Linked DNA regions of Tamandua tetradactyla. The protein of the gene in region 1 interacts with the protein of each later gene in a pairwise test. Links are inferred from orthologs where the notes say so. Each region holds a gene or a part of one and is shown in the gene's direction. Other genes may lie near its edges.

Region 1 (7,571 bases):
TGTGTGTTGATTGCTCCACTGACCGGCTGTTCCCCCACCTCTCTCCCTCACATTGGGCCTCCCTATTCCCTAAGATGCAACAATATTGAAATTAGATCAATTAATAACCCTTCAATGAATACTACTGGTCAATGAGAGGGAGTGGTAAGGGGTATGGGCTGTATGAGTTCTTTCTCTTTTCTTTTTATTTCTTTTTCTGGAGTGATGCAAATGTTCTAAAAATGATCAAGGTGGTGAATACACAAATATGTGATGCTATTGTGAGCCATTGATTGCACACCATGTATAGACTGTATGTGTGTGAAGATTTGTCAATAAAAATATTTGTTAAAAAAATAACCCTTCCCCAATGGCTTCTAAGTGTTCAAGTGAAAGGAAGAGTCCCGCATCTCTTAATTTAAATGAAAAGCTAGAAATGATTAAGCTTAGTAAGGAAGGCGTGTTGAAAGCTGAAACAGGTTAAAAGCTAGGTTTCTTGTGTCAAACAGTTAGCCAAGTTGTGAATGCAAAGGAAAAGTTCTTGAAGGAAATTAAAAGTGCTACTCCAGTGAACACATGAATGATAAGAAAGTGAAACAGTCATTACTGATGTGGAGAAAGTTTTAGCAATCTGGATAGAAGATCAAACTAGCTATAACATTTTTTTAAGTCAAAATCTAACCCAGAGCAAGGCCCTAACCTCTTCAATTTTAGGAAGGCTGAGAGAGGTGAGAAAACTGTAGAAGAGACGTTTGAAGTTAGCAGAGGTTGGTTCATGAGGTTTAAGGAATGAAGCTGTTTCTGCAACATCAAAGTGCAAGGTAAAAAGCAGCAAGTGCTTATTTAGAGCCTACAGCAAGTTATCCAGAAGATCTAGCTAAGATCACTGAGGAAGGTGGCTACACTAAACCACACATTTTCAATGTAGATGAAACAGCCTTCTATTGGAAGAAGATGCCATCAAGGGCTTTCATAGTTAGAGAGAAGAATTCAATGGCTGGTTTCAAAGTTTCATAGGACAGGCTGACTCTCTTGTTAGGGGCTAATGTTAAATTGAAGCCAGTGCTCATTGACCATTCTGAAAATCCTAGCAGCTTTAAGAATTATGTTAAATCTACTCTGCCAGTGCTCTATAAATGGAAGAACAAAGCCTGGATGATACCACATCTGTTTACAACATGAATTACTGAATATCTTAAGCCTACTGTTGAGACCTATTGCTTAGGAAAAAAATATTCCTTTCAAAATAGTACTGCTCATTGAAAATGCCCCTGGTCATCCAAGAGCTTTGATGGAGATGCCCAATGAGATGAATGCTTTCATGCCTGCTAACATAACATCTGTCTGTAGTCCATGGATTTAGGAGTCATTTTGATTTTTAAGTCCTTATTATTTAAGAAATACATTTCATAAGGCTATAGCTGCTATAGATAGGGACTGTGCTGATGGATCTGGGCAAAGGCCACCAAAAACCTCCTGGAAAGGATTCACCATTCTGGATGCCATTAAGAACATTTGCGATTCATGGGAGGAGGTCAAAATATCAACAAGAACAGGAGTTTGGAAGAAGTTGATTCCAACCTTTAGGGATGACTTTGAGGGATTCAAGATTTCAGTGGAGGAAGTAACTGCAGATGCTGTGGAAACAGCAAGAGAACTAGAGTTAGAAGTGGTGCTTGAAGATGCTGTGTGTTGATTGCTCCACTGACTGGCTCTTCCCCCACCTCCCTCCCTCACATCAGGCCTCCTCATTCCCTAAAATGCAACAATCTTGAAATTAGATGTTAATAATCCTTCAATGAATAGAAGTGGTCAATGAGAGGGAGCAGTAAGGGGTATGGGCTGTTTGAGTTTTTTCTCTTTTCTTTTTATTTCTTTTTCTGGACTGATTGCACATGTTCTAAAAATGATCAATACACAATACAAATATGTGTATTCATCTAAATTGTGACTAAATCGCTACACTCTCATGATGAAACTTGAACAGATGAAACGTTGCTTCTTATGGATGAGCAACGAAAGTGGTTCTTGAGATGGAACCTACCCTGGGTGAAGATGCTGAGAACATGGTTGAAATGAAAACAAAAGATTTAGAATATTACATAAGCTTAGAGCCAAGATTTGAGAAGATTGATTCCCATTTTGAAAGAAGTTCTGTGGGCAAAATACTGTCAAACGCTGTCATAGGCTATAAAGAAATCTTGTGAAAGGAAGAGTCAGTCGATACAACAAACTTTATTGTTGCCTGTTTTAAGAAATTCTACAGCCACTCCATTCGTCAGCAACCACCCTGAGCAGTCAACAGCCATCAACATCAAGGCAAGACCTTCCATCAGCAAAAAGATTACAACTTGCTAAAGGCTCAGATGACGGTTAGTACTTTTTAGCTATAAAGTATTTTTTAGTTATACTATGCACAGTTTTTTTTTTTAGACAAAATACAATTGCACACTTACTAGACCAAAGTATTGTGTGAACATAACTTCGAATGCACTGAGAAAACAAAATATTCATGTGACTTGCTTTATTGTGATAATCGCTTTATTGTAGTCGTCTGAACTGAAATCGCAGCATCTCTGAGGTTTGCCTATATACAACCCACATTTAGGTTTTCATAATTGTCCCAATAATGTACCTTTTAAAAAGGTACCTGGGTTTTTATTACCATTTAAAGAAAAAAAACTGTGCAAAGGGCAAAGTCAAATTTCCTAGCATGCATAATATTAATAGTTATTATTTGGGCCCATTAGCACTATGCCATGAAAGGTCAGTATAGGTTAAAAAAAATCATTAGCTTTAAAAAGTCATTTTATAAATTTTCCCCCAATCCAGGATCCAATCAAGGATGGTACACTGTATTAGTTGTCATGTCTTTTTTTTTTAAAAAACAGCTTTATTGAAATACAATTCACATAACATGATTTACCCATTTAAAGGGTAAAGTCCAATGGCTTTTAGTGTATTTACAGACTTGTGCATCCATATATTTTTATCACCCCTAAAATAAACCCCATACCCTTTAGCTATCACTTCCCAAGCCTCTAACCCACCGGCCTTAGGCAACCACCAGTGTACTTTCTGTTGCTATAAACATGTCAATTTTGCACATTTCATATGAACAGAATTATACACCATGTGGTCTTGTGAGTGGCTTATTTTACTTAGCATGTTCCCAAGGTTCATCCATTTTGCAGAATGCATCCATACGTCATTCCTTTTTACGGCTGAATAATATTCCATTGCATAGATATACCACTATTTATTTATCAAAGAAGGGTTTTGAGTGAGCCCAGGAGTGAGCTGATCTGACAAGGACATAATAATGTTCACTTTGGTTGTTCTTCCAGTGAGCAGAGGGATCAGCTCTACTGATAGAGAGAATAATTCCTACTGATAGGGAAAATAAGAGGAGGTCCAATAATTGCCTAGTAATACTTTAACAAAGAAAGGAATTTAATATTCTGATACATAATTTATAAACAGCATTTTACAAGCTTTATGGAATTTGTTGCATTTCCTTTGAATAATTAAAAATGGAATGCAGAAATAATAAGTAACTAAGAATTAAGAATTGAAAATGAATTTAAAAATAATTAAAAACTTTGTAAGGGTACACGAGCAATAGAAGACTACCATTAATTTATGATGCTTGTTGTATTTCCTTTATATTACGAAGGTGGTAACAATTCTTTTGGTCCATGTGAAATTATTCAGAATAATTATTCTCATCTAAGCATAACTCAACATTCTGGTAATTACCCAAAATTTCATGGCAGCATCCAGAGAGTTTGCCAAAAGAAAAACTGACTTACGAAATGCTATTTTCAATGTCTATGCAGATAAAGACGATAAGAACTTCTTTATTTTTGTTTTTGGGGTTAGCGTCAACTAAAAGATTTTCAAAGTGACCATTTAGCGTTTAGAACTCTTTTGTGGCATCTGTCATTATTTGGAGCAACGAAGTTACCTATTCCAATCATTGGATCTCCAATTGGCACAAAACGTTTGATTTAGGGTTTGATGTAAGCACATGGATAGTTACTTGGCTCTTCAGTTCTGGGTACAGTGCAACTTCTAGGGGCCAGCAAATCACTAGGGAGTGAGAGAAGGGCTGTGAAAAATGTCTGGAAAGACTTGTCAAAAATGCTGTCCACGTTTTAGAGCAGCTCGGTGGGCGCGGTTGGATGGGTTAATGCACATTTGAGAAAGTAAACACAGGGAGTACCGAACTTCACTTGCAGCTAATGCCCCACGTCCGCTCCACCAGGACTGAAGGAGGCAGGTTAGGAAGGCCCTGCAGGATACACTGTTTTCTCTCCCAGGAATAACGGGGGCGTGCGGCTGGGGGCGGAGTAAGTCGCTCCGACTGCTCCCCAGCCGCGTCCGCGGGCCCGGGAGGCGCTGCGCTCGCGTGGGGCTCGGCGGGGAATTTGGAGAGGATCCCTGGTCGCTCGGCGGCAGCGGCGGCGGTGGCGCGCGGGTGCGCGTGTGAGCGAGTGAGCGAGCGAGCGGGCAGGCGGGCGAGTTCGCCGGGTATTGGCAGCCGAGGGGTGGAGGCTGGGCGGCTCCGACTCCCTGACGCCAGCGCGACCAGATCAATCCAGGCTCCGCGAACGAGCGGGCGGAGGAAGGAGAGGCCGAGCTGCCCAGCCCAGGCCGAGGCGCTCGCTGGGAGGGAGCCTGCGTGCGGAGCGCGGCGCAGAGCCCGGCCGGCCGGCCCGGGGCCGCGGGGATCCCGTTCGTCCGGCCACTCGTGCGCCCGCGACAACGGGCGCGCCGCCAACTCGGTAAAACGAAACAGACCCGGACCCAACTTTTCTCTTTACCGCGTCCCCGCCCTCCTCTCTGCGCCCTGGGCTTTCTCAGCGCGGCCGCCGCCTCTGCGGCAACAGGCGCGGGCCCTCCGGGGCCACTGCGGTCGTGCGGGGCCGGCGGCGCGGGCTGAGGAGTCCGAGGGGCTCTTCCCGGCGTGGGGCGGACCGGGGAAGCCTGCTCCTCTCTCCTCCCATGATGGCGCCTCCTGGCCGCTCTCAGGAGCTAACCTGCCACCTCCTCTTCCCTTCGCGCCCAGCCGGCGGGGCAGGGTTCGCCTGGGGTTCACCTCGCGTCTTTGTTGGGTCTGCGGTGGGGAAACCGCTGTTCTTCGGCCCCCCTGCATCGCCGCCGGCCCTGCAAGTCCTCTGCGGGCGCCCTCCCCCTGCGCCTGCTCCCGGTTTCTCTTTCCCTTTCTGCAACCGGGCCGAGGCCGTCCGCGCGGCCCGCGGGCCCATTGTGTCCCGCGCCGGCCGGGGCGACCCGTGCGGGAGTTTGGGGACAGACGCCGGCGTTGCCCTTTACGCATTGGGCGCCTCGCGGAGCGGGTCTGGAGGGGGAGGACACCCGGTGCTCCCGGCTCCTCCGCATCCCGGACGTGTTGCCTCCTCTGCCCCTACAAGCCACTTTGGGGTCGAGGTCAAGGAAAGTTCGCACCGACGTTCCCTCGGATTTATTCAGAGGTTTGGCGGCGCGTGAATTTTCTTTCTCTCTCTCTTTTTTTTTCTCTTCCGCCTACACCCCCTGAGTCTTCAAGTGTCGTCTCATTCCTTTCCCTTTACCGGATTCGATTGCCTCACTGCATGTGAATTTGTGAGTTCGTTGTTGAACAACTGTTCATTTTCTCTGCTCCCTGTCTTTGTTAGCATTTCTCGGGATTGTTTCTGTAGGGTGGTGGGGGTGGTAGGTGTGAGAGAGACAGACGTGGGCTTGTTTTTCTAGTTGCTTATTATATATGAAGGCTTAAAGGGAGAGCGTTTCTTTGCTGTACTTAGGGAAGGGAGGAGGAACGAATGCCTGCCGAATGCTACTGCTGCAGTCGCTGCGGCTTTTGTTTATTTGGAGGCGCATGCGATTTTTAAATACACTGTGCAAGATAACCAGTGAGCACTTCCATCTGAAAATTGTGGTCGGTCTCAGAATCGTATCCTGAGGAAAGCTTCATTTTCGTGAGTGCTGTGACAACCAGCCTTTTCTTTCCACTCGTGTTCTTTGCTTTCCATTGTGTATGAAGTTTCAGAGTACGTGGAATGACATAGAAGTTGCCTGATGGGAAGTTGTCTTCCTTTTGCCGAGACTCAGCTGCTAAACCACAGAATGCCTTTATTTCATCTCTTGTTCTAATCGTCGTGGGTAACGCTTCAGTAAGACAGTGAGAAAACTGTTTTCTGCCTGTGTTGATTTTTCGTCTTGTTTATAATGACCACTTTAAATTTTAATGGAGGTAGGTGAGCTATGGTGGAATCACTGGTTAAAGGAATCGAGGCAGAACCAAAGTTTTGCTTCAGCGTTTGACATGCCCCAGCAGTTTCGACGGGTGTAAATGTGTTTGCATCAGTGTTGTGTTATTCTAGTGCAAGACCTAAATATCCTGTAGTGATTGAAGTTTTTGTCCTCCCTCGCCCTCCTTCTTTTCCATTTGCAGTTATTTGATATTTCTGTGCAGGCAGTGACCATTTGTGTGATATTGCAATTCTTGGGAAACTGTAACCAGGGTTGTGAGATGATTTTCTGGAGGTGGGTGATCCTCTAGAGGCTCCAGATGGTATCGGGTTTCCTCTGAGGGTAGGGATTTGTCCTTGATTTAGTTTTGACCCCTCTGACCATAGGTATGTAACTAAATACATTTTTCCTTTTGCAGTGTTCTTTGGTTTTATACCCTCGAAGAGCTGATGACTTTTGCATTTTAGAGAAGTGACACATTTTAGGCAATTAAAAACGTTAATGTCTTAACGCTTTTTGGAATTCAAATAATTTTTTTTTACAAGGACCAGATAAAACGTTAAATAAGTCTTATTTTCCTAAATGCATTTATTAGTTAAAAATTAAATTTCAGTTTCTAATTTTGATTTCTAGTAATTCGGGGTTAAAAATAAAATTTAATAACTTGGTAGATTGGAAAAGGAATAAACTTGAGTCTACTTAGAAGAGCATGTTTAAGCTGCAGTAGTCTACATAATCAAGGCCAAGTCATGTGTGTACAAAAGATCTCATTTGTGTAGTCTTAAAGGCTAATGGAGGCATCATTGAGGCTTTATAAATAATGTAAGTTGTGTATAATGTAGAGTCTCAAGAGACAGCAGAGAAAGCATCATTACCAGCCTTTTCAACCTGCTTGAGATCTTAAATTGATTTACAGCACTGAACTGGTGCAAAATGATACATCAGAATGACATGGGGTCAGCCTGTAAAAGTCTATGATGTCAGCCTATTAGTTCAGTCATCATAATTAAACCGTATTACAGGGGCAGCTAAGCAGGAGTCTGGCATTATACTTCAGATATGGGTGGTACGTGAATTTTGTTTATAGTGAAAAGGCCTACGTGACCAAGACATTAGTGTTTCTGAAATAGGGAAAGGCTTACAGAACTCTTGAGTTTCTGAAAAAAATTGAAGATAAAAGCAGAGATGTTCAGTTTGTAGTGTAGCTTTGCATTTGTAAAGGTAAATGTAGCTTTACATTTGGCAGTAAAGAAATGCTTTGAGGGTGCTGGTAACCGTCTTTGCCGCTCTGATCTCTGTGCTGAATTGTGCTTCATGTGAGCTTGAATTTAACTTGG
Region 2 (7,706 bases), on another chromosome or scaffold:
TCTCCTGGAAACAATGAAATTTTCTAAAATTGAGAGTGTTAATGGACTGTGGACTTTGGGCACTATACATGATTCCTGATGAATGCAGGTGGCTGAAGGATGCACTGACTGAGAAGTAGATTGGCGAATGATAGTGTATACTTATGAACAAATGTTATGCTGCTACAAAAAAGGAATGAAGTCGTGAGGCAAGCAATGATGTGAATGGATGTGTGGGGCATTTGGTGAGGCAAAATAAGTCAGAAGCAAAAGATCAACAATGGTATGGTGTCCTTTAGAAAATACTTACAAGAAAACAGGGACCTAGATTGCAAGCTTTTATAGCAGACACATTTGGTCCGGAGTGGTAATTATGATTTCCGGATTTTGAGAGGCTGTTTTATATATACATAAAACCTGATATTTAGAGATAAGAATGAAGCCGATCAGGTTGAGGTTAAAGTAATTCAGAACACAGGGGTAAGGAAGACAATGTCTATATTTTATAACCACACATACTCTTTGAGGCCAAAGGAGGAAAGGTTTATTTAGTCTAGAATCGAAATTTTCTGTAGCACATAATCTAAGTCAACCTATCTGTTTACCTCATTTGAACAATTGAAACACAGGGAGCCCAGAATAAGAAAGAGGTTCTTTAATCCTGTATAGCCTAATGTAATGCCTGGATATATCCTAGAGTATATGAGGGATGGGAGGGAAAATATGGAGCTATTAAACTTTAACATCAGGAAATCCCCTGATACTGTGTGAAACTTTAGGGACACCCAAATCAATAGGCCATGCCCTTGATCTTGAGGCTTACTCTTGTGAAGCTTATACAGGTAGTATAGAAGCTTAGCCTACCTATAGGTATGCCAAAGAGTTACTTCTGGAAGACTTCTTTTGTTGTTCAGAAATGGCCTCAGTCTCTCTAAGCCCAACTCTGCAAGTGAAATCATTGCCCTTCCCCCTACATGGGACGTGATATCCAGCTGAAAGTCTCCCTGGCGATGTAGGAGATGACTCCCAGGGATGAATCTGACCCTGGCACCGTGGGATCAATTTCATTCTGATTAAAAGGGGGGGAAAAGAAGTGTAACTAATGAAGTATCAGTGGCAGAGAGAGTTCAAATAGAGTCGAGAGGCTACTCTGTAAGCTGCTCTTATGCAAGCTTCAGTTAGACATTGCTACCTGTCATAGCCTGCCAAACCCCAAACAGGACCAGTTAGCCAACCCTAAAGAACACCTAGGGCAATATATAATATTTCTCAAGGGTTCCATGCACTAGTGTAACTTTCCAGGAACATACAACCTCCAGATGGGTCCCTGGACCAGATAAGTCCTGAAACCCAGAGGGCCCAGCCTCTCCAGAACATCAGATAGTTTCACCTCCCTACCCCATATTAGTGACAGACCCTTCCAACATGAAAAAGTTAGAATGGCCATAGCCCAAAAACCCCTAAAGAGAGGAATGGAAAGATCAAAAGTGATGGTAGAGTTATACAGAGAAGATAGGATTTAACACATGAATATGAGTGCTGAATCATTAAAGTGATATCTCTTTTAGTCTCCAATATCTTAGAGCAGCTAGAAGTAAAAACCTAAAATTGTGGAATTGTAACCCATGTCAAACTTTGAAATATGTCCTACAACTAACTCTGATGCTGTGCTTTGAAATTTGCTTTTTTGTATATATGTTATTTTTCACAAAAAAGAGAGAAAAAAAGTCAATTGTGGGGATAAAAAAAATGTTTAAACCTTCTAGCCTCCTAGATTCTGGTGCAGCTAGGAGGAAAAATCTGAGCAGATCATATGGTAACCCAGAACCAACTCTGGGATCTGTCCTGTAACTACTTGTTAAGAGTGCTTTGAAAACTACTGCTTTTTTATTTCTTTGCTTTATACATATGCTATACTATACAATAAAAAAGTAAAAAAAAAAAATTAAAAATTAAAAAAGTTAGCTGATCTGGAAGCAATAGTGGGATACACTGGTAAATGAGGAAAATGTGGGAAGTGAGCAATGAGAGTCTATAAAGAGTTCAGGATCTGCTCAATTACCCAGACAAAAGGTAAATTATAACCCCAGATGATTCCATACAATAAATCATGCTCCCAGTATCTTCACAGAGGAAGAGGTGTTAGTGTAGACTGACACCATGTATATGAAGGACCTTTGTAAAGTATAAATTTGTATGTCAATTGTAGTTGTCATTGTTATTAATATCTGGCTATACTGTCTAACAATTAAACAACACATCTGAACAGGATTTTCCCATACAGTATTCATTCCTCATTTACCACAAATGTTTATTTAATACATATATGTGCCAGGTAAGCAGGCAATATTATTACCATCTTAAAAAAGAATAAATTGAGGTTCTGAGAGCCTAAGATTTGCCCAAAGTCACATGTCTTGGAGAGTTGAGATCTTTGGTTCCTAGTTCATATCAAACCTTGCTGCTCTATAGAACTGAAATGACCATAAACTATGTTTGCCAAAGCCGTCAATCTTCATTAATCCTTCTTTTTCATTTTTTCCCATTAACTCTTAAATGTAATTATTTAAATACTTTCGGCAAAGTTTGACCACTTCTATTTCTCTCTGCACAGTAGCATTTTTCCTTATTGCTATTATATGGACTTCCCAGGAGTCATGCTACAGAAATGAATGTCCACAATGTTTGGTTTTACATTACTGGCTTACATTTATTGAGTGCACATGGCATGTCAGGAATGGTGCTAAGCACTGTGAAGGTAATCTCATATAATCCTTAAAATTGTCTTCTAAAGAAGGTAAATTATCCCTCTTTTATTGTAAGGAAACTAAGGCTCAGTAAGATTACGTTGCCGAAAGTCACAGGCAGAAATATAAACTATGTGGCAATTCTTACAGGAGAATATTTAAAGCTCCTGAAAATCAGAGGCTGAACCAACAGACCTTTATGGTTCCTACATGAAGAGACAGTCAAGTGTGGAACAAATGCTAAACTAAGGATAAAAGTAAGAGGCAGGACTGTGCATATACCCAGTTTTGTTTAACTCCAAAACCCACAGTTTCTCCACACTGCCACAATGAGGCACAGGTGTGGCCAGTTTATTATCATTTGATTCCATCCCTAGGCAATAATGGCAATAAATTTTGTGTCACCATCATCATCACAGTGGCTAAAATTTATTGAGCACTTTCTATTTGACAAACACTCTTCTATAGATTCAGGAACAACTAATAATTAAATTTTCCATGATAAAAGAGAAGAGGTGTCCCTTCATATTAAGGCTTTTTTTATTTTTAAATTTTTTTTAGATGATGGTAAACTCTTGCTTACCAAGAGAAGTAGAAAATTTAGGTTGTGAAGTATTATTCTGCTGTTGGATTCAGGATGTTGAAAACAGTATCCATGCTTTTGATTACCATGCTTTTCTGTACAGATGTGTATAACATAATAGGATAAAATAATTTATTGAACACAAATATTGTTCTACTGTGTCAAGTAGTGTGTGAGATGTTGCAGTGTAGTTGCTAGCATTTAGTAGTCACAAAGTGTCAGCTTTGCCAGGGACTGAGGAAAAGGAAAGAGATGGTGACCAAACTGGACAAATTTCACTTCTCTGAGCTTAGTTCCTATTCTGTAAACGAGGGAGTTGGATTTCCAGGTCTTAATTGTCTTTGTTTTTCTGACTTTGTGGGATGGTTCCTCCTCCTCATCTAGCACTATGCCCAGGTCATAACATTCGTCTTATACTATTCTAGCTTTGCAATTCATTAATTCATTCAACTGATGTTTTCTGAGCTTTTACTAGTGTCAGGCACTATGAAGCTGAAGTTGCCAATGACACAAGCAACTCCTTTCATGGAGCTTACAGCCCAAGGGGATAAAACAACAAATACTTAATTATCTTTAAAATAAATAATTATAAATAATACTTAAATAACTATTGTTGGAATGGTACAAGGATATGTCTTTTTTTTCAGTCATAAAATGAAGCAAATGATTGGCTGTTTCAGTTACAAAAATGAAGGTCTAGCAATGTCATCAGATTTAAAAGGGGAGGGGGTATTATAATACCTTACAATTAACTAATGATTGAACAGCCATTACCCTTGGAATTATGAGTAGCCTACTCCATATCTTCACCTCGAAATGAGAAGGGAGAGGGAGGGGGCTTCTCAAAAGAGCAGCGAGAAGTCACACTTTAATTCCCCCAAATCAAACATAGAGACAAACTGTAAAGTGAGATTCTGTAATTTAATCTGGCCATCAGAATTTCTTTGAGTCTTTCTAGGCTCCTCCGAGCAGCGGGAAAGTGGATGGAAAGAAAAACAATGCCATGAACTTTAAGGCGGATTTCCTTCCCATTATTACTGCCTTAGTGGCAGGAACCTGGGAAAGGGAAGTCAAGGTGTGGTTTGAGCAAGAGGCAACTCCCGGGAATGGCACTTAGTAGGGCAGGGCAGAGAACACCGGGAGGAAACAGAAAAGAGGAGGAGAAAGCGCTGGGACCTGAAGGTGAGAGCGTAGAAAAACAATCCGCGTCGGGAGCCGCGCGCCGTTCAGGTGGTCCTTTCCCGCTCAGGTGAGCTCCTCCCGCGCGTCCCATTGGCCGAGGCGCCCGCGGCGCTGGGAGGACGACGCAGCCCGGTCTAGTTCAGGGTCTAGGGCAGCGCGTCACTTCCGGTAGCGCGGAGCTTGTAAAACACCCTGGAGAGAAAATGGCGGCGGCAGCTGCTTCGGCGCCTCAGCAGCTCTCGGATGAGGAGCTTTTCTCTCAGCTCCGTCGTTACGGCCTGTCTCCTGGCCCGGTGACAGAGAGCACCCGCCCCGTCTATCTCAAGAAGCTGAAGAAGCTTCGAGAAGAAGAGCAGCAGCATCGGTCCGGGAGCCGCGGCAACAAGACGCGGAACAGTAATAACAATAACACGGCAGCCACCACCGTCGCAGCCGCGGGACCGGCGGCGGCGGCCGTCGTGGGGATGGGGGTCCGGCCAGTCTCGGGCGACCTCTCCTACCTACGGACTTCGGGGGGCCTCAGCCGAATCTCGGCCTCGGGCCGGGAAAGCCCCTTGGGAGAGCCTGGGGGCGCCTCGGCCGCCCCCAGGGCTGGCAGCAAAGTGCTGCTGGGCTTCAGCTCGGACGAATCGGACGTCGAGGCCAGTCCCCGGGACCAGGCCGCCGGCGGCGGCGGTGGCGGCGGCGGGAGGAAGGACCGGGCTTCTCTCCAGTACCGAGGGCTCAAACCGCCGCCGGCGCCCCTGGCCGCCAGCGAGGTGACTAACAGCAACTCAGCCGAGCGGAGGAAGCCCCACTCATGGTGGGGGGCCAGGAGGCCGGCTGCCCCCGAACTGCAGACTCCATCGGGGAAAGACGGAGCAGTGGACGACGAGGAAGAGGAGGGAGAAGACGGTGAGGAGAGGGATCCGGAGGCCGAGGAGCAGCAGTGGTCGAGGCGGACGGTGAATGGTAGCCGGCTTCTCCCCTACATCTGCCGGGAAAACTACTCGGACTCGGAGGAAGAAGAGAACGACGATGTGGCCTCCACCAGGCAGGTATCAAAGGACGATTCCCTTTCCCGGCATCGGCCCAGGCGGAGCCATAGTAAACCTCTTGCACCGCTGACTGCTAAATCTGCCGGCAGCAGGCTGGAGACCTCAGTTCAAGGAGGGGGAGGAATCGCGATGAATGACAGGGCGGCGGCTGCTGGGAGTCTAGACAGGAGCCGAAACCTCGAAGAGGCGGCGGCGGCGGCTGTGGGGCAGGGAGGAGGGTGTGATCTACTGGACTCCAGCCCCGTTCCTAGATACCGTGTTAACGCTAAGAAATTGGCCCCTCTTCTGTCTCCGCCACTTACTGACATCGACTCAACCTTGGATTCGTCAACAGTCCCCCTTCGTAAAACTAATAATCATATAGGCGGTGGGGCCTTCAGTGGGGACTCCCCCAGGATTTATTCCAACAGTTTTCCTCCCACTGCCGCGGTGGCCGCCTCCAGTTCACTCAGGATCAATCACTCCAATCATACGGGCTCCAATCATACCTACCTGAAAAACACGTACAACAAACCGAAGCTTTCCGAACCCGAGGAGGAACTTCTCCTGCAATTTAAACGAGAGGAGGTGTCCCCAACAGGGAGTTTTAGTGCCCACTACTTGTCGATGTTTCTCTTAACTGCTGCCTGCTTATTTTTCCTAATATTGGGACTGACTTACCTAGGAATGCGGGGGACAGGAGTATCCGAAGATGGAGGACTCAACTGTAAGTATTAAGCTCTGTGGGTAAGGTAAGGAAGGGCATGTTAATGGTCATGCTTTAACCGCAGTTACATTTTCCGGGAGGTGACTTTTACCTGCAAGAACATGGTTTAGTGAAACGCAACAAATTGAGAGCATTTGTGTCACCTTTCTTTAAGAAAGAGCATTATTTTGGTCCTCAAAAAGATATCCTATAGCTAATTTAAGAGACATCGTAAATCAATGTCTCTTCAAATTGAGTTGTGATTCTAACAGGGAGTGTAAATGCTCTTGAAATTCCAGTTAGTTTGTAGAATTATGTGGGCAGATATGTAATTTCTTTAAAATGAATGAATCTTGAAAGTAGCAAGGCCTTCCCCCTTCCTCCTCCAAATTATTTTCCAGCACCAACTAGCTTCTCTCTCACTTGTGAAAAAGTACCAGTAGGGAGAGCAGTACAAGAGCTTGGGTTCAGATTTACCTGAATTGCGTTCCAGACCCTGCCGTTTACTTGCTAGGTAACTGTAGACAGGTGTGTTCATTCATTCCGCCAGCATCTGAACATTTCTTCTGTGCCAAGCACCCAGTTTACAATAGTAATAAATCAAAGTCTCCTTGCTCTTAAAAACGAAAAGGAGATCATTTTGTGTTTTATGAAGGCGGTAAGGAGGAATTGGTTGGTGTGTGCTACTTTAGATTGAATTGTCAGAAGAGATACTATTTGAGATGAGACTGAAGCAGGGGAAGGAACCAGCCTTGTAAAGAGGAAGAGATCATTCTGGGCAAAGAGAACAAGAGGAAAGGCCCCGAGTTGAGCAAGAGTTTTCCTGTAGGCTGAAGTGGATAGAGCATCTTGAGCAAGAGGGAGAGAGGAAAATCTTCTCTTTCCTAATCTATAAAATGGTGGTAACTGAATAGGAAGGTGGCAGTGAGGTTTAAAATAGAGAAAGTAAATTAGTGCGTGAAGAACTGCTGAATAATAATTTCTCAGTGTTAGCTCTCTCTCCATACTCCCTCTGAAAACTTCTACTCTTTTTACCTAACATGAATTCATTGCATCATGATTTGTATTTATAAAATTGGCTTATTATATTAGCTTTGTTTCATAGTAGAGTGAATGATGCAATTAGCAGACTCAGAAAAATAATAGGGGCCAAAATAGTGTAAGCTTTGACTAGATAACACCAATTTTAAGATGTTCAGATTTTTAATTGTTCATTTTTTAAGATGTTAAGATTATTAATAATATTGCTTGATTAAAGAAATTGGAAAAGAACTCAAATCCAACCCTCGCTGTAATCAGTTCCCTGGGAACAAGAGTAATGTGATGTATCCTTCCCCACATATTTGGGAGCAAAAAGGAATAAGGTTACATTGGAAGCTAAAACTAGTAAAGTTGCCATAAATTAACTGATACTGCTTATCAGCAATGGAATATACTGCCTCTATTTGTTTCTCTACCAACGCCACCACCTACTATATGACCCATCCTTTTCT
Region 3 (7,767 bases), on another chromosome or scaffold:
CATATAAGAATGTTTGTGTTTGTATGTGGTCATGTATCATAAATAAAATATAAATAAAATTTTTTTAAAAGTTCCCACTCACAATGGGTTCATGCCCACAAGAATAGATTAACGTAAAGAACGTGTTTTCTGCAGTACATTCAGCTTCAAACCACCACTCTCCATCTATGTGTCTTGTCTGTCTGCCTGTCTATCTACTTATCATTATTTATCTATCACATAATAGGTGGTTTGCGAATATGACCATCGCTTTGGAGGATATGATTTAGATCTGTTGAATTCAATTGCGGTGTTCTTGTGAGTATTTTCCATATCCTTCTTTCTTAGTTTTCCAGGCTGCTATTGAAGTAGAGAGACTCCAAGCACCACCCAAGAAAGCACTGGAACCTCTGAGAAGTGGACAAAACTTTTTATTTTCCGTGGCAGACTCAGAGGGCTCCTGTCCAAAGTCTGAGCCCTGAATATCCTTTGTTTCTAGATTATACAGGCCAGCAAGAAAGGGGGGAGTTACTATGGGAATGGGCAGTAAACAATGGAAAAGCATAGAAATAGTAGTTGCAGGGCAGGAGTTATTATCTGGCCCTTAGCTTATTTCTTTTGTCTGAAATGCAGGCAGCCCTGGACGTGACAAGGAACAGGCACAGCAGACATCCTGTTTTACTTCCTTCGAGAAACCATGTATTTTACATACATTTGTGAGTGCACAAATTCATAGCATGATACACAGAAATACACAGGGAGATACATAAATGCATAAAGTGGTGCACACAAATTCATAAAGTTATACAGCAATAATACTGAGGATAAAGTTACAAACTACCTCACATGACAAGTAGCACACAATGGGTTACCTTAATCGAGGAATTTATGAGCCCATGACATTAAGGCTAGGGGAAGACCAAAATCTAGCTATCGGGAAAGACTGTAGCATTCTGGTACTGGCCACTGGGGACCCTCGGGGTTCCTCAGCTTTCCTGTCACATGGTGACCTCCTTTCCTTTCTCCTCCTGGTTCCCTGACTTCCGGTTTTCAGCTCTTCTCCGTGCCTTTCTCTGTCTCAATTGCGTCCACTTATAAAGGACTTCACATCACGAATGAGGCTCATCCTCATTAACTAAAATAACATCTTCAAGAGCTCCCATTCACAATGGGTTCACACCCACAGGAACACGAACGAAGATTAAGAATTTTGTCTGGTTACGTAATTCAAACAGCCACACTTCCCTTCTGCTTTATTTTTCTCCCTAGCTCTCATCGCTGACTGAATTTGTTCTATGTTCAGCTTTTTATTTCATTTACTGCGCATCCCCCCCCCCATATACACACTTCCTGGATTGCCAGCTCCAGGAGAACAGGCATTTTTGCCTATTATGGTCATGCTGCATTTCAGCACTTGTAACAGGAATCAGTGAAGTGCAGCCCTCGGGTCAAATCTAGGGGATTCGTTTTTTTTTTTTTACATGGGCAGGCACCGGGAATCGAACCCAGGTCCTTGGGCATGGCAGGCAAGCACTCTTACCTGCTGAGCCACCGTGGCCCTAGGGGATCCGTTTTAAAACAGCTTTTTCAGCTAAGAACGATTCTCTTTAAATTTTTTTTTTCATTTTTACATTTTTTCAGTGGTTGCAAAAAAAAATCACAATTGTAACAATATTTCGTGCACGTGAAAATTACATCAACTTTACATTTCTGTGTCTATAAATAAGCTTTTATTGACACACAGGCACGTTCATTTGTTTTCATGGTGCATGTGGCCACTTTCGCATCTTCGAACACAGCGTTGAGACTAAACAAAATTGAAAATATTCTGCTGACCCTTGACCCAAAATAGCGTACAGCACTTAGTAGGTGCTCAACAAACAGAGAGGTTATTTCCTAACACCTTTCGGAAGGGTCTGCCACTGGCCTTTGGATGCAGGTATCCCTGGATTAAGAGCTGGCTTTGCCAATATCTGGGCAAAAATTGCTTCTTGTCTCTGAGCCCTGGTATCAAGGTCAGAAAATGGGGTCAATGCGAAGACTCAGAATGTACAATCTGGGAGGGTGGCGGGGTAGGAGTGGAGGAGTAGAGCAGAATAAGTGCTGACACAGTGTTAACTATCTAACATCCCCTTGCGAATCTGTCTTCCAGCTATAACAATTCACAGTTCAGGGCCCATCTCATTGTGGTCACTTCTGCCCCAAGCCTTCCCTATTATTTTAAAGCAAATCCCACACCATTTGTGTAAACACGCAGGCTTGCATTTCTCATATTTTAAAAACAGCGATTTCCGGGGCCTGCCCATGCAAAACAAACAAACAAACATTGCAATGATACCATTATCATAAACAGAAACATTTAAAACATTCACACCAGGAAAGCTGCCAGAATCTACAGGTGATAAGATTTCATAGAACTATCCACCCACCCACCCCAAAAATGTGCATGTAAAAACTGATGAATGATTGAAAAAAAAGGAAAAACTAGTGAATGAGGTCTGTACCTGTATTAGGTATTAGCAACTTGGTTTTTTGTTTGTTTGTTTGTTTTTTATTAATTAAAGAAAAAAAGAAATTAACACATTTAGAAATCATTCCATTCTACATATGCAATCAGTAATTCTTAACATCATCACATAGATGCATGATCATCATTTCTTAGTACATTTGCATCGATTTAGGAAAAGAACTAGCAAAACAACAGAAAAAGATATAGAATGTTAATATAGAGAAAAAAATAAAAATAATAATAGTTAAAAAAAAGACACAAACAAACAGACAAACAAAAAAAAACTTGGTTTTGATCATTCATTCCATATGGAAGATATCAAGGAAAGGTGGGTGAAGGATACATGGAAACTTTCTGTACTACGTTTTCAACCTTTTGTGAGCCTTAAACTATTCCTAAATTAAAAATTTTATTAAAAATAAAAAAACAACCACACAGAATCAGCAGGGCTGGAAATAGGGTGAGGCCAGTGAGACTCATTTGTGTCAAAGCAGAGTTGGAATTTGTCTGCTTACATCATCGACATTTTTGTTCACCATGGATTCTGGGGGCCATTAATATTTTTATTGACAAGATAACATACAAACACAAACATTCTTAATATAAGAACATTCCATACATGGTGCACAATCAATGGTTCACAATATCATCACATACTTGTGTATTCATCACCATAATCTTTTTTAGAACATTTGCATCACTCCAGAAAAAGAAATAAAAAAATTCATACATCCCATAACCCTTAACTCTTCCCTTTCACTGACCACAAAAGTGTATGTCCATCTACCCCATATATTTTAACCTTTGTTCCCCCTATATTTGTTATTTTATCCATATTTTTAACTCATCTGTCTATACACTAGATAACAGGAGCATCAGACACAAGGTTTTCACAATCACACAGTCACACTGTAAAAGCTGTATCATTATACAATCATCTTCAACAGACAAGGCTACTGCAACACAGCTCTTTGGTTTCAGGTATTTCCCTCCAGCCACTCAAATGCACCATAAACTGAAAAGGGATATCTATGTAATACATAATAACCTCCAGGATAACCTCTCAACTGCTTGAAATCTCTCAGCCACCGACACTTTATTTTGTCTCATTTCTCTCCTTCTCGTCTTGGTCAGGAACGTTTTCTCAATCTCTTGATGCTGGGTCCCAGCTCATCCTGGGATTTCTGTCCCACGTTGCCAGGGAGATTTACACCCCTGGGAGTCAGGGACCCCATTAAAAGTTATTCTAAAAATATTCTCCTTGATTACTGAGTTTTCCTGGCACCCGCTTAGTTTCGTGCCCGAGTTTCTTCCTGCCCTGAGAATTTGAATATCCCTGAAACTACATTTTATTAAGTAATATCACAGCAGTTTGAGGTTTACAGGAAAATCATGCAGAATGCAGTATTCCAATATATGCTTTTTCCCCTTCAATTTTCCTAGCATTAACAATAAGCATTAAGGGGGACCTTTGTTATAATTCCTGAACAAATATTGTATTATTAACCGTAAGAAAGACACTCTTTTTGGTCCCTCGCTTCTCCCTTTACACACAGGAAAGTTTGAGATCGGCTGTCTGGGCGGGGCACTGGGGAGCCAAGGAGAGCTTCTGAGCAGGGAAGGCTGAGCTCAGGGCAAATTCGAAACCCTGAAAGTTCACTTCGGATAAGGAGGCAGGAAAGAATGAAGTCGGGGTCGACGATGCGGGAGCGCCTGCAAAGCGGAGCGCGGTGCTCGGTGCACGAGCTCCAGGAATTCGTGGAAATGGGGCGCCGCGCATTTCTCAGACTCGGGCAACCCGGAAACGGGCAGAGCGGGGGGGGGGGGGGGGGGGGGGCTTAGGTCCCGCCCCCCACCTGCCGCGCCAAGACCCGGATGTATAGCGCGGGGCGCCGGGGTCCGCTGGGTCCGCGCCGCGCCGCGCGCACTGGCGACCGCCGCAGTGGAGCGGCTGTCCCCTCCCCCCCCAAAGCCGCCGGACCTCCGGGCGCGCACCTGGAGGCCGCCTCGCACCGGAGCACCAGCATCTGCCGTCGCCTCCACCTGCATCGCCGCCGCTCCTATCGCCCACCACCGACCCGCGCGGGGCTCGTGCTCCTTTAAGAAGCCAGACGCAGCTGCGGGGTGGGCGGGGTCGCCGCGAGCGAACCCTGATTGGCTCGAGGCCCGGGCGGCGGCCGCACGCGCCTGCGCAGAGCGCGGCAGCGCGAGCCTGGGGAGAGGCGGGCGCGTGGGCGCTAATTGGCCGCGGCGGTCGCCCCGCCCGCGGGTGGCGGGCGGTCACGTGACGTGACGGCTGGGGGCTCCCGGCGCGGGGGACGCTGGTGGCCAAGATGGCGGCGGAGCTGGTGGAGGCCAAAGTGAGTGAGCGGCGGCGGCGCCGTCCCGGGCGGGCGGCCGGGCGGACGAGGGGGCGGGGGCGCGGGGCGGGCCTGGGGGCTGAGGCCTGCGCCTTCCGCCCCGGGCCCCGGGCGCCACCTGCTCGAGGCTTCGGTGCGGCGGCTCCCGGCCGGGGGACTCGGGGTGCGGGCGGGGGGCGGGGAGGCCGGGGGCGGGGCCCCGACACCTCGCCCCAGTCGTCGTGTCGGGGGTCAGGTCCCCCGGCTTGAAGCAGGGTCCCCGCAGCCAAGCGCAAACCGCCGGAGTCTGGGTCTCCCTGAACCCAGGGGGCAGGGCCGCGCCTCCCGTCTGAGGCAGAGTCTCTCCCCGGACGGCGTGATGGGTCGGGGTTCTCGTTCCCTCCTCCCAAGCTGGTGTCGGTGTTTTCTAGCCCGGGTCGGGGGAATTGTCAGCGTTCGGCCTTCCACGGTCTCTGGCTCTTGCCTGCGCGCTCAGGAGACCAGGCAGGGGTTTGCGACTCCCGGCTGAGAAGGGTCCCCGCCTCCCGGCGCTGTTCCGCCCATCAACAGCACGGGGTGATGGGCCCCGAGCCCTGGAGCGCTTCCAAACCCGGTTGTCCGCCGATGGTGTGTGACCCAGGCCTGGCGTGGAGCCCATCTTCAGCACCTACGGTAGTCCACGAGCCCCGCCCCCCTCCTGACACTGGTGCCTAGCCCCGGAGTGGCCTGGGGCCGCCCGTCTGCCCTGACTCCTCTGCCTTCCTCCTGCCCCCTTTACAGTCCTGGGTTCTGAACCTTGCCGTTCTCCACTTTGTTTTCCCCTCCGGACAGTAACTAGGAACCTATGGATTCGGCTTCTGGGAACCTTAACTCCGCTCACACGCATCCCGCCCCCAAGCAGAATCAGATCCCATTTCTAAACTTCAGCTGCTTCCCCTATACTCTGTTCTCTAGTGAATCTACTTCCTAGGTCAAAGGTCTGATTTTATATACCTATGCACCCCAGATCTGTCTTCTGAGCCCCTTTTTTCTGCCTGCTTCCCTCTTTCTGTTCTTGGAAGGTTTGCAGCTGGTTCCAGGATAGGCCTTTTTCCTTAACGGCCTCCTGCTAAGTCTCCCTCAGATTCTAGGACAGGGGCCTCTCTGTTTTAGCCTGGGGTCCCATTTGTCCCAGGGATGTACTTTCTTCTGGATGCCTCCTCAATGGTAAGGCTCCCAAACCTTTGTCTCATACCAGGGTTTTCTGCCCTTAAAAGTACACTCCCAGCCATTGCTCCCAGGGAGGCAGGGGCTAGGGCTTTCCTAGGCCTTCCAAGCACTGCCCTTCCCCTCCCCTCTTGGATCTGTCCTCCCCAGGGTCCTGACCTGTAAATGATTGCTTTCTTCTTTCCCCTCCCTCTCTTCTCCCTTCCCCCAGGGATCTGGCACATGGCCCTTAAGATCCCTATATTATAACGTGTATCTCCCCCCCACCTCCCTTCCACAATCCCATGTCACATGCATTCCTGCTCTCTCCTGGGTTTTGAGAAATGGCCAGTCTGTCCTGGAACTGTGGAGGACTGGACTTCGCAAGCCCAAGGTGCCAGCCTCCCTAGTCAAAGTCCCCTAGAGCCCTGAAACTCAACCTTCTGGCAGAGCTGTGGCTCTGGACCCCCACCCCCATGCCCAATGGAGGAGGTTAGGGTCTGTGCTCTTTTTTTAATACCATCCAGGGCCTTGAAATGTGATCCCATGAACTCTTCTTGACCCGACCATGGCTGGGACTTCCTACCCCAATTAAATCAAGTTGACCCTTCTTTCTTTCAAGTTCTAAAAGATGTGCACCTCCATTCTGAGGGGGTGGGGGCAGGTAGGTGTGGAATGACAACCAAACCTCCCCCAATCCCAGGGAACCATTTTACTACCACCCTACAGTGGCTTAAATGTAAATGCAGTGATCACCCTTTTGTCAGGTGTTTTGGGGGTCCTGAGGCTTCTCCCCTCTTTTCCCTGTGCCTTGCATTTGGAGCTGGAGATTTGCCTGTTGGGGTGCAAAAGAGGCTGGTTTGAGATTGATTGACTTTGAGAGTCTTAAGGGCTATGAGGTTGGCTTGGGGGAAGGAGTCCAGGAACTCCTTGAGGTAGTCTGTAGCATTTTGCAGACCTCTTTTTTTTCTGGAAAGAGGGGCTTTGCTTTCCTCCCATTTTCAGAGGCCACGATGGGGAAAAGGTTAAGTGCAGCTGCTCCAGGCTGATGTTTCTTCACACAGCTTCCCAACAAGTCCAGAGTTGAAACTGCTCTGGAACCTGTCTGGCCCAAAGCAGTCAGCCCAAAGCCATTGGGTCCCAGAGCTGTTTATAAACAGTTCCAACAGGCGGGCAGGTCAGGATGCACCTACAGCAGGAAGTGATCTCCGAGGCATTTGGGGCTTTCTGAATGTTTGTTCCCCCCTCCCCCCTCCCCAGCTCCACTGGAGTCAAGGGCAGGCTGCTCGGTGGTGGCAGCTGCTGAGAAATTTGAGTCGTGAACATATGGCAGCTTGAGGGGTGTGCCCTGGGTTGCTTGTGCGGCAGCTCCTGGCGTCCAACCTGGCCGGAGGGGCTAGGCCCTGGTGGAGAGGGGGGCAGGGTAGGTCAGGGGCTCCCAGGCGCCAGCTGATGTCAGCAGATCTCTTGTGGTCAGACCCTGAATGGCTGAACCCACCTGCCTTCAGCAGCGGTTATTAAGCTTCCACATGACACTGCTTCTCCCTCGAAAGGCTTGGGCCTGTTCCAGAAGATACATCTTGTCCACAAGTCTTTTTTTTTGCTCAAGGTAGGAAGGCCGGCCAAGGGGGCTGAAGGCACTTTGTTTTCAAAGTTATCCAGGTTCTCAGGCAGGGGATGTGCCTTGTGAAAGAAGACCCCGTAGTGTTCCCCAGGTAGATGGGTATGAGTACAGGAAGGATCATGCCCTTGGGT

The links.
Region 2: the proteins of SMAD1 (region 1) and LEMD3 interact in binary tests that used the Homo sapiens proteins (3 or more experiments, as listed by UniProt). The link is inferred for Tamandua tetradactyla from reciprocal best matches to the Homo sapiens genes SMAD1 and LEMD3.
Region 3: the proteins of SMAD1 (region 1) and PIAS4 interact in a two-hybrid assay, tested with the Homo sapiens proteins (2 studies listed by BioGRID and IntAct). The link is inferred for Tamandua tetradactyla from reciprocal best matches to the Homo sapiens genes SMAD1 and PIAS4.

The regions. Positions count from the first base shown.
Region 1 is NC_135348.1:22,612,616-22,620,186, reverse strand, and holds the start of SMAD1 (mothers against decapentaplegic homolog 1), read left to right. Parts: upstream 1-4,490; 5' UTR 4,491-4,766; intron 4,767-5,277; exon of another isoform or gene 5,278-5,960; intron 5,961-7,571. UniProt on the Homo sapiens protein: Transcriptional modulator that plays a role in various cellular processes, including embryonic development, cell differentiation, and tissue homeostasis.
Region 2 is NC_135333.1:133,020,719-133,028,424, forward strand, and holds the start of LEMD3 (inner nuclear membrane protein Man1), read left to right. Parts: upstream 1-4,647; 5' UTR 4,648-4,694; coding exon 4,695-6,234; intron 6,235-7,706.
Region 3 is NC_135337.1:78,023,330-78,031,096, reverse strand, and holds the start of PIAS4 (E3 SUMO-protein ligase PIAS4), read left to right. Parts: upstream 1-4,738; 5' UTR 4,739-4,821; coding exon 4,822-4,848; intron 4,849-7,767.